Linked DNA regions of Caenorhabditis elegans. The protein of the gene in region 1 purifies or fractionates together with the protein of each later gene. This does not show direct contact. Each region holds a gene or a part of one and is shown on either strand. Other genes may lie near its edges. The genes, in order: M28.9 and sup-46.

The links.
Region 2: the proteins of M28.9 (region 1) and sup-46 fractionate together in Caenorhabditis elegans (co-fractionation; one large-scale study listed by BioGRID). This does not show direct contact.

The regions. Positions count from the first base shown.
Region 1 is NC_003280.10:10,637,632-10,643,942, forward strand, and holds M28.9 (Prominin-like protein), read left to right. Parts: upstream 1-1,778; 5' UTR 1,779-1,871; intron 1,872-2,133; 5' UTR 2,134-2,151; coding exon 2,152-2,376; intron 2,377-2,423; coding exon 2,424-2,606; intron 2,607-2,653; coding exon 2,654-2,810; intron 2,811-2,916; coding exon 2,917-3,077; intron 3,078-3,127; coding exon 3,128-3,286; intron 3,287-3,514; coding exon 3,515-3,598; intron 3,599-3,646; coding exon 3,647-3,805; intron 3,806-3,855; coding exon 3,856-3,976; intron 3,977-4,022; coding exon 4,023-4,245; intron 4,246-4,364; coding exon 4,365-4,551; intron 4,552-4,619; coding exon 4,620-4,802; intron 4,803-4,848; coding exon 4,849-4,929; intron 4,930-4,974; coding exon 4,975-5,193; intron 5,194-5,344; coding exon 5,345-5,439; intron 5,440-5,486; coding exon 5,487-5,703; 3' UTR 5,704-5,748; downstream 5,749-6,311. Other genes in the region: M28.4 (Protein tweety homolog), read left to right, coding at 6,072-6,272.
Region 2 is NC_003279.8:10,168,874-10,174,410, forward strand, and holds sup-46 (RRM domain-containing protein), read right to left. Parts: upstream 3,731-5,537; 5' UTR 3,695-3,730; coding exon 3,616-3,694; intron 3,537-3,615; coding exon 3,250-3,536; intron 3,183-3,249; coding exon 2,967-3,182; intron 2,252-2,966; coding exon 2,150-2,251; intron 2,102-2,149; coding exon 1,862-2,101; intron 1,495-1,861; coding exon 1,246-1,494; intron 1,193-1,245; coding exon 1,001-1,192; 3' UTR 766-1,000; downstream 1-765.

The DNA.
Region 1 (6,311 bases):
AACAAAATACTAGGAACTGCTGCACCAAAAATCTGCAAATCGGAGGAAGAGCTCCCTCGTGAAACCCGGACTGAGCTTGCCAGACTGCGCTGTGGCCACTCAAGATTATGTGGTTCTTACGTTGCCAGAATTGAAAACAGAAGCATTTCCCCTTGCAGGAAATGTGGAAGTGTGGAGGGTGGCGTGAATCACCTTTTGACCTGCATCTCCTCGGTCCCTCTGCTCCCAAAGGACCTGTGGGAGAAGCCGGTGGAAGTGGCCGAGGCCCTGGGCCTCTCCACGACCCCCTTCGACCCCGGAGGAAACGGAACCACCCCTCCATAAAACACGGACCAAGGATTTTTGAATTTGCACAACAACAACAGGAGCACCCATCGCCTAATTTTGCTAAATTCAATACTTATGAGGTATTTTAAATAATGATTTACTTTAAAACGAAATTCCTACACTATCAAAAACTTTTTAGTTTTTTAGATTGCGAAGAAACTTTTGAATGATAACGCTGAACAAGCCAAATCTGCGAATCTGGCTATCTGTGACAACAATAATTTAGATCAAACGTTTATTGCATACTCGGAATCTCTTTCCATGTCCCACTTACTTTCCCAGCAATTTGTCAAAAAATTAGAGACTCTGGCAGAAAATGCTCCGAAAACGGTGGGTACAAATGCGTTTCAACTTTATGAGCACTTGTGTTTCAGCCATCGATTGCAAAAGATCTGAATAAAACTTATTTCACTAAAACGGAAGCAATTTTGAAACAGGCTGTTACCAAGCTTTTTGTGGGTTGATGATTTCATTTATGCAATTTATTTAATCAGTAAATAATTTTCAGAAAGCCCTGCAAGATGATATTTTCAAGTGTCGCCCGTTAGTAGATGTCTACAATAATGCAGGGATTTCAGTTTGCGAGCAATTTGGATTACCAGTTCATGGAATGTGGGCATCGGTTGGCTTGGGTGGTGTTGTGCTATTCTTCCAAATAATTTTATTGCTTCTTACTTTTCGTTGGTTGAGAACTCATAGCAAGAATACTGTTGGCAAGAATGGAAAAAGTGATAAGGTTCGTTTTTTTTCAAATTTTGGCAATTACCGGAAGCTGTTTCAATTGTAACACTAAATACCATAGATTATTGTATATTTTCTTATGTTGATAGCGATAGTCTACATAGCTTGACTGCTCAATAATCTTGCACTCCATATTGTTTATTGGTTGAACCCGAATACAACCAAAATACGAGAAATCAAATCTTTAACACCATGAAGCTAAATTATTGAATAGTTCCTGAATCTGTTTTGAAACCTTAACTTTAGGTTTGCCAGAACCGCGCCCGTCAGTTAAAATATTTCTGAAAATTATAAAGCAAAACACTAATTCTTTACAGACGGGGACATCAGGCTCAATGGAAAAGGCTGGCTCGAAAGAAAAAGACAAAAAGAAAAAGAAGAAAAAAGATAAGGCAAATCCGACTGACAAGTGATTGCCACTCCCGAATTCAAAATATTATAGCTATTATTTCAGAGGATCCGTCGAAAAAACTAAATCGAAAGAATCCGATGGAGATCCTAATAAAGATGTTACGCCAGATAAGATTCCCGGAAACAATAAAAAAGGGAGCACACTCGACATCGAGCCGATCTGGTGAATTTTAATGTCCAGTATGAATAAACGATGCTTTTTTTTTGAAATTAATTTTAATAAGATTTGAAAAATAATTAACGTGATAAACAGAAATCATGAAATGTGTGATTTTTTTGTTCCCGTGAGAAAAAAAATCACATGTAAGAATTCAACAGTTTTCAATCATTAATCGATCTTATTCGACTTCGAACAAGTTTCCTTATCATTATCCCAGCATTTTCATCAGAAGGTAAGTGGTTGTTGCAGATGGTTTTCAGATACGGGTTTAGCGCCGTACTATCTACACACAGTAATGCTTTGCTGCCTTTAAATTAAGAATACTGTATTACTACAAAGCACTGTAAACTGCAAGCTATGGCTTATGAATTGGATTCCCGAATTATAAAAGGACACTAAATAGGTTGAAACCCGAACCATCTGAAAGGCAGAGCACAAATAAATCAGTCAAAAAAACGTACAGCTTCAAGTCGACAAATCTCATGAAATTCCAGATCGCGATTGATTGGAAAATGAAACTTCGTTTGTTTGTTGGCTTCATAGCCCTGATCTCGATTGCTTTTTGTGCTAAAAGTCCGAAGCCTCAAGCATCAGGACCAGCACCAGCTCAATGTCCAAAGTCTTCTGTGGAAGTTAAACCGATGAAACCTGAACTAACAGGATCTGTCGGATTTTATGGAACTGGCAAAGGAATTTCAGATAGTCTGCAGAAAACTCCAGATTCGAAGTCTTATGAGGTAAGGGGGGGCTTTCTTGTGCCACTATCATCATAATGTTATTTCAGGATTTGAATAACCTAATTAGTGGAAAAGAATCCTACGGGGAAACCCTTAAAAGTATGATTCTGAGCCAAGTCACTGCAATCGTCTTCTGGAGTGTTGGAATCGTTTTGATCATTATTGCAGCTGCACTTTGCATCGTAACTTGCATTTGGCAGTGTTGTTCTACGTGTGCTCCCAGAGAATCTGTAAGGACTTCAAATTTACTTGCATCTTCAATTCATAATAATTCTAGGCGGTCCGCTCTGAATACACTGGAATGGTATACCTTGCTCTGTTGGCTACCACTCTTGCGTTCACCCTAGCAGGTGTTATAATTTTCAATCTCGCGGAGACTGACTTTGTCGATACTGTTGATAATGGAGTGAAGTACGCCAATCAGCTCACCTCAGGTAACATACATTCAAAAGACCTCGTGGAGCTTGAAAATCAGTAGATTCTTTCTGACAGATCATTTAAACTTGTATCACATTCCACGTTAATTTTTCAATTATTCAGACATGTCGAATGTTTTTTCGAATGGAAAAAATCAGTTGACATGCGAAGTGAAATCTTCAACATCACAAGCATTCGCTGAAATCCGATCGTTTATAAGGAACTATGAAAGAGATGTGACTGATAAAGCTGCGACACAAGTTGGATTAACTGCTGTCAACAAGGTTAGACGATTCGAGTCAGCTATATGATTTTTCATTATAATACTTTTCAGTTCGATGTTGATGCATTCGTAAAGAGTACTAGTGATACCGTTGAAAAGGGAGAGAAGTTGAACGCTGCACTTGCTAATATTAATAATCCTTCTTCGGAATGTAAAACGAGTGCCAACGAGTTGAAAGCTAGAGTTTCAGCAATGGGTATAGCCTTAAAAGTGAGAGTTTCCTTCGATTTTGGGGAATTTTGATCAAGACTATTGAAATGCTTTCGAGTATATCAACAAACATTCAAAGATTTCTGGAATTTATATCAGCAAACACTACCTTCCGCAGTGCTACATTTTCTGAACAGTTCCATCACTGAATACAGCTGCTATGAAAGACTTTTTCCTTATTTTTTAAACGGAATTGTTTCCAATCTAGTTTCACCATTTCAACTTCAGGGTCTATCAACCGCTGCAGACACAGTGATGGGGTCGAGCGAATTGGACAGTGTTAACAAAATGGTCGATGTGATTAAAGCTGAGGTTTGTAGTAATTTTGTGATTCAAGAACTAAGTTATTTTTAATTTAAGATTAAATCTCAATCTAGAGGTGCTGGTAGTGTCATTGATAGTGCTCAGAAATCAATCGACGACACTACGAATTCAATTGTAGAATTTCTGGATCAGGTTCAACACCAAGTTGAAGAAATAAAGAAGTCAATTCCTAAATATCACGAGCAAATTGCTGGCGTGAGTGAAGAAACGAATAAATTTTTAAACAGAAAATTGTATAATTTCAGTACAATTCCTTCAGTACGGTGCTTGGAATTCGTCTTGGTATCATTATTCCGGCCGCCATGGGATGTATCTATTGCATCGTTGCAATTGTCGCTGTGATTCTTTCGTTGATAAAACAGGACGGTAAGATTGATGGACACCAGTAAAAAGGATCAGTTTTAATATTTAGGTGTGGCACTGAAGCTCTCTAGATTTGTCATCGATGGCTTTTTCTCCTCAATCACTGGCTCCATTACACTTCTAGGATTTGCAATGTTTGCATTTGCATTGGGATTAGTGGTGTCATCGATATGTGTTCCAGTTTTTGAAGATGATAACTACACTTTGTTCCGTCAAATGAATGTTCCGATGCCTGCAGCTGACAATAAGACTAAAACATCCATCAACATTGAGTGAGAAATTTAAATATACAGTTTTGGCAGTTGATTTTTTGTCCAAGTCACTGAAAAAGTGGGTTGATACCAATAATTTTTTCAAATTTCTAAAAGAGTGGAAAAGATCCTTTTTCCAGTCAGTTACTTGAGTCTTGCAACAATCCAAGCATGACCTTGTACAAAGCGATTGATGGAAAAAAGTTGATATCTGAGGAGGCTATGAACAAACAGATTAACCTGAATAAGTACCGAGACATGGCTGATAAGAAGATCAGTGAGCAACCAAAATCGGATTTTAAGCTTCCTCAAGCAACGAATTATAAGGTATTTTCATTCATAAATTACACATTCATCATGATGGGGTAGTTTCCAATTAGAAATAAAAATTACAGAACCATATGAAAGCTGTGAACGATAACGCTAAAAAAGCACAATCAGCGGATTTGTCAAAGTGTAAAGACGCTGATTTGAATAAACAGTTCAAGGAATATGCTGCTTCTCTCAAAAAATCTCAAGCACTTTCCAAGCAGTTTATAGACAACTTGGCAAAACTGGCAGAAAACGCACCAAAGACGGTGTGTTTAGGTTTTTTCTAGATTTTCGGAAACTTTTATGTTTCAGTCTACAATTGTAAAGGATCTCAACAAGAATTATTTCACTAAAAAGGAAGCGGTTTTGAAACAGGCAGTGACCAAGCTTTTGGTAGGTTTTTCTTGACAGTTGTCTTAATCAGTAATTCATTTTCAGAAAGCTCTGCAAGATGATATTTTCAAGTGCCGTCCGTTAGTAGATATCTACAATAATGCAGGTGTGCTGGTTTGTGAGCAAGTTGGATTGCCAATTCATGGATTGTGGGCTTCAATTGGTTTGGGTGGAGTCGCAATGTTCTTCCAGATTATTGTATTGCTTCTCACTTTCCGTTGGTTGAGTACTCATAGCAAGAAGAGTGCTGGGAAAAGTGATAAGGTTCGTTATTCATTCAGCTCTAAGACTTAAAGTTGGGAGCTTATAAGTGAATACTCCATCTGTATTTCGTTAAAAATGTTTTACTTATGAGACCTCTAGAACTATCACTATAGTGAGCATAATCTAGAAATTCAAACATAGCTTTTTACAGATGTTAAAGTCAAAGGAGTCGAAAGAAAAAGAAGAGAAGAGCGAGAACAAGGACAAGAAAAAGAAAAAGAAGAAGTCGAAGAAGGACAAGGAAGAGTGAGTAAACTTGCATACTAGCCAGATTATTATAATCGACTTTTCAGAGAAGGCTCTGCCGAAAAAGCTGATGGAGATGCTAACAAGAATCCTCAAGATCCTGCTGCACCAGGTGAAATTGGAAGAAATGGATCAGCTGAAGCAGGGTCTCAACCGACATCAGTAGAGGGTAAATCTGATGCAGCTGAAGGTGCTTCTCCAATGGCCCCAGGAAACGGAAAGAAAAGCGCCGTGAACACGCTTGACGTTGAGCCAAAATCGTAGAACTTTTTCCTTATTATTGATCGATATGAATGAATGATTCACTTCTCTGATTTTGTCTTTTTGTAGGCACATAAGCTTTTTCAATAGATGCTCTTGCTACAGCTATATATTTTCCTTTCTACAAGCAATCTATACCGTACTAGACGGAGGAACTCCCGCAGTCGGATCCCAACCAAAACTTGGCTCTCCAATAAAAAAGTAATTGGAAATTTTAAAATTTTCACGTGTTACACAGAGACGACCTTATGAGCAACAAGCTATAGCTTGTATACAACGTAAATCTTAGTTTTTTCCACGAATCAGTATCAACTTATTTCTTTATTTCTTCGTTTTGCAAATCCATATTGTATTCAACGAGTGGAATAACAATGAAACATTGCTTCATGATAATTGGTATTTTCGTTTTCAACGTCTCAGCTCAAACACTTCAACCACAAGAAACATGCGGTCAGCCAGCACTGAAGATCAAGGCTATCCATCCAGAATTCGGAAGTGCCACTGGATTTTATGGAATAGCGAAAGGAATGTCGGACGGAGTGCACACAAATCCAAATTCTAAATCGTATGAGGTAAGTCAGAGATCGAAAATTTTTTGATAATTTCAATAT
Region 2 (5,537 bases), on another chromosome or scaffold:
TTACATTTGAAGCAGGGAGTTTCCATGTTTTCGCAATCGAACCACGGTTTGTTTGGAAGTTTCGCCACGTGGCAAAAATTGAAGATATTGTTACGGATGTTACGTTGGAAACTATTTAAAATGCGATTTTTACGCCAAAAATACTGTACCCGGTCTCGACACGATAATTTTTGTAAATTACAAACGGGCGCGCGCCTTTAAGTGAGTACTGTTTTAACGGATATATCTAAAATTTTGAAACTACAGTACTCTTTGAGGCGCACACCCGTTTGTATTTAACAAAAAATTGTCGTGACGAGACCAGGAACGGTATTTTTGGTGCCAAAATTTTTTATTGCCGGTTTTGAAATAAAAACAATTAATTTTTAAAAAAATTGATATAACAGTACTCGTTATAAAGCAGAATTCAGAATCCTTCTCCAAAAGCCTCAAGGTACCGTAATCCAGAGAAAGGCGTCAAAAATGAAAACATAGACAAACGAAAGAAAGTTGTGAGCATACAAATAGACACACACAATGCTCATCATCGTTTTCTCAGCAACAAAGGATTCTTCATGGGCGTGACTATCTTTTGCTCATGAAGGAGAGAGACGTCTTCAAAACGCAATTAAGGGCATACGGTAAAACGTTTGAGCAGCAGTTGTCGCGCGCAAATCAGATTGCGTGAAGCTCTTGTTTGATGCGGGACACACATGCTAAATTGTCTTCTGAATAGCACCTCAAATTGTGCGGCGCTCATCTGAAGACACACTTGTCACGTCATTTATTATTAAAACTTTTATTTGTCACCATCCTGCCAGAGGAAAATATGAGAAATAGTTTTAGAGTGATGAAAATGAGGAAGATGTTTTAAATTATTGAGATTCCGTTGACAAGGAAGCCTTTTTAAAGGGATAAGGAAGGATAGAGATGGAGAAAAAACGGATAAAATAAAGATAATAGATGATGATTCAAGAGAAACGTGAGAAGTTTCAAATACAAATATAACAGGGGGAATGAATTAGGCGTAGTCAACGCTGATCATGCGGCCTTCGACAGTGGATCCATAGAGGGCAGCACGAGCACGTTCAGCGTCTTGGAAAGTTGCAAAACGAATGCGAGCAGCTCCTGGCGCCATCATATCAACAGAGTCGACTTCTCCGAAGTTTCGAACACGGTCACGGACAATTTGCCAGGTATAATCGCTTGGAAGCTGAATAACAGATCATAAATGAGAACAAATTGAAATTTGAATTGAAAACTTACGTTGCGAATGATAATAACCCTTGTTGCCTGGGGTGTCGCAGCACCGGCGAGTCCACCAGCTCCATTGACACCAAAGACGTCAGGTTGAGCAAATGTGGCTCCACCAGCACCACCAACACCAGCATTTCCTCCAAATGGTCCATTGTTCATGACGGATCGGGCAAAGTTGGCTTGTTCAACGACTCCTCCAAAACCACCAGCCGAAACAACTTGTGGTCCACCTACGAATGGGGCAGCTGGAGCTGTGAACTGAAATATAGATAATTAAATTAACTTTTAAAAATTTTATAATTGAGTATTTGTTATCAAGAGTTTCATCGAACATTTTTTGTGCTTTTTTCAGAGAAAGTTCCGTTTGTTCTGAAAATCGAAAAACATGTTTAGCAAATTGGAATATAAAAACCCATTTTTGTATTAAGTTTTCAGATTGTTGATGGGGAAAAACATAAGAAAACATATCGTTTTCTTATAAAAGGCCATTTTTCGAAAAATCAAAATGTTGGAAACCCGAAAATTTCTGTTTAAAAAAAATTAATTTTTCGATTTAAAAAAATCTAAAACCACCATTGAATGCTAGTATATACCACACCGATGAAATTTGTTTTAAATCGCTTACCGGCACTGAAGCATCTCCTGGGAACATTCCATGAACATTGGAAAGTGGTGCTCCTTCTGCTCCAAGACCCATTCCGATTGACTCAAGACCTCGTGGAAGTCCACCTTCTTTGTGCTCCAGTTCCTTATCGAATCTATCCATTTTCACAACCAGATTTCGATCAAAAAGTCGCTGACCATTGAGCATCGAAACGGCTTGTACGGCTTCAATTGGGTGAGTGTATTGAATTACGCATACTCCCTGGAAGACACCATTTATATTTTATAGGAACTATAAATATTAACAAACCTTTGACTTTCCTTCTTTATCAATGCGGAAGTCCATCCAGGTGATTTTACCGGCCATACCGAAGACTTCGTAAAGCTTATCGGTTCCGACATTGAAAGCCAACTGAAAATGTTTGATTAATAATATTGTCTTGGAAACAGAAGTGGAATTTCGGAAATTCTATAAAATGACATATTTCGCCATGTTAAATATAGAAAATCACTTTTTTAAATCTGAAAATAACACTTATTTCAGATAAAACACTTGGAAAAGCGCTTCAAAAATACCAGGATGTTGCAAATTGCCGATCATCAAATTGTTGAATTATCGTTTCTCGGCAAATGGCAACTTTTGGTCATTTTCGCGCACTTTTCCAAATGTTTAAAACGAGATAATTTTTTTTTAATTTTCAGATAAATCAAGTGATTATCTACATTTTCAGACTAATTTTTGATGAAAACTTTTGAAAAAAACATGTCGCAATAGGTCATTTTGTAGCATTTCCGAAAATAATTGCCAACCACCTCTGATTGGGAACTAAGAATGGTATTTAGTAACTGAATTAGTGATGCTATATTTTATTCGTATGATACTGAGAGATCTACCCGGAGGATGCAACTGTCTGAACAAACTATAATAAGCACTGATTCCATTTTGTTGTATATAATTCCACGTAGAAAGCTTCCTACTACTATTCCGTTTAAAAACACCAAAATGAAAAATTGCATTTATTTCTCCCATTCGAATAATTTCATATCTCAAAACTGAGATAAAGACCCAGCAAGTGAACGTGGTCTAGATGTGGAGCCCTTCGAGAAGAAGAATATTTGAAACCTACATTGGCGATGAAGATGCGCTCACAGAGTGGCGGTTCAATGTTGTGTTGGCGAAGGAATTCCATATTGAGACCGAATAAATCATAAGTTCCAGTTCGAGTAGGGCGATCAAGATCTTTTGGTGGAGGACCTCGTCCTCCTGCACCACCACCTCCGGTACGAGACAAGTAATCAATGCCTGTTTCAGTTTTGATGGTTCGGAAGAAAGCATTCGGATCCTACAGAAAAAATAAAAAATGGATGAAAATTTCTGAATGTGAGTGTCAAAATTAAATAGATACGGACCCGAATTTCTTTGGCGATGATGGTTCTTCCCTTCCAGTCGAACTTTTGTAGATTCTCAACGCATTTTTCGGCACCCTCACGAGTTTCGAACTCAACCACAGCGTTACCCTTTGGCTTGCCGTTACGGTCTTCGAGCAACTCGCAGAAAGCGACTTCACCTCCTTTCTCGCGAACTAGACTTTTCAAATCGACCCAACGAGCCTCATAGGCGATATTGGTGATAAAAACCATTCGGTTGTTCGATGATGAGTTCCCATTGTTACTTCCAACAGCAGCGCCGATACGACCTTAAGGAAATGGAAAATAGAGAAGGATTTCTATGGAAAAAATGGTGGAAACGGGAATGAAGAATATCAAAAACTATACTTCTTCTTGGACTTCTGGATCGGCTCCGACGCTCTCGCTTAACATCACGCTGTGGTCCGTCTCGACGATTTCTGTTCATGTTGGCTGATGGAACACGGATCTTGGATTAAGCTTTCTGAATGAGTTGAACTAGAATCAATTAGACGATAAGCAAATGTTTTCATATAACAACGGGCTTCTTTAAAAAACAATTGAAATTTTATTTCCATTTTGATTGCTAACAAGTCGAAAATTAATTGTAACTAAAATAATCTGCTCGCTGAGTGGCCCATTTTTATTGTTGAAAGAGATAAAAGATTATTTACTGAACTGTCTCGCCAATGTAATACTTGATTTGACATCGAATTGAAAAACTATGTTACAACAATGATCGAAAACTTATGCACAGATGAGTAAAAAGTTTTGTGATCGCACCTTATTTGCTTCTTTACTTACAAATAGGCCACTCGAGCAAAATTTGACTTGATATCTTACAGAAAGACTAGAATGCTCTAAACTCTCTTAAAATTCCCGAACCGAAAATTAAGTTTTCAAAAAGAGGAACAATTTCGAAATTTATCTATCGGAGCAATTCTCTGAAACATCTTGGAGATTTTCCGACTGATAATGCATATTTAAGCCGCGAGAACCATTTAGCAAATTTTAAAACAAAAAAACGTTTGATTTAACGAAGAAAATAAAGAAAAATAAATACGATAAAAGAGAGAAAAATCGAAATTCGAAAAGAAGAGACGGCGGCAAACACAAGTGTGCATTTGTGCGTCGAGACGAGCCGCACAGCCGACATCAGATTTGACGCCACAAATCGCCGCGAAAAGTGAAGGCTTTTTCTTTGCTGCTAAGCCAGTATTCTGGATCTTTTACGATTTTTTTTTCATTTTCGATAGCATGGTTCTGTGAAACAAGATCTCTGTTCTCTTTGAAACACTCTATTCTATAATTTATTTTATTCTTCAATTGTTTCTTCCATGTTTCCCTAAAAATAATTTTGTTCGTTAATTGTCAATAGGATTTTTATGAACTGAATTCAGTGTCAAATTTCGGAGAAAGAATAGAAAACGTTTTTTGTGAGATAAGCTGCCTCTCGTTTTGTTTTGCCTCCGCATGACAGATTTATTCTCAATTTCACACTAAAAATTATTAATAATTGTACAATTTAGTTTTGCTTCAAGTTCTATAACAACGCGTTTTTGTTTTTTTTTCACAATTCATGCGCTAGCTGTCCAAAAATATTCAAAATGTTTATAGAATAGGTGATTCAACACCAACATTTCAAACTATCGTTCACAAGTCACATTCCAAATGACTAACGTCCATATAAAGTTTCTGATATTGCTCCAATCGTCCCAAATGTCTTATCATATACACTTCATGACGTGTTTTCCCTATTCTTTCTCTTTTCCCGCCGATGACCATGTCTCTCCCTTCTATTCCTCTAGGTTTCACCATACGAATATCAAATCGTATATACATTTAAAAGCCGACGCCTTCTACCATGTCGAACAGTAATCGCATGGAACTAGTTAGTCTTTTCCCAATCGCCGTCATTTCCCTCACTTTTATTCCTTACACTAGATTTTATTATTGATAGAACTGAAATCTTGGTCTTATGTTAACGACAAAAATCGTGCCTCGTTTCATTTTAAATGCAAAACTACCTGCCGTTTATTGCCGCCGTCAAGAGAACAATTCGCACTAGGTTGAGAAGGGCAAAGGTCTTTTATGACCTTTTACGCCCGGGAAGTGAGAAATACCAGAAATCACCTTTTATTTCGATCTATAACTCGAACTTTTAATTTTTCATCTTTAACCAGTGTAGGTTTATTTATTGAATAGATTTGTGTTCCACTCATCTCTTCGGTCAACAGATTTGTTTTCCCCCTGTTTCAAATTTAGCGTGAAGTTTCTACAACAAGACATCG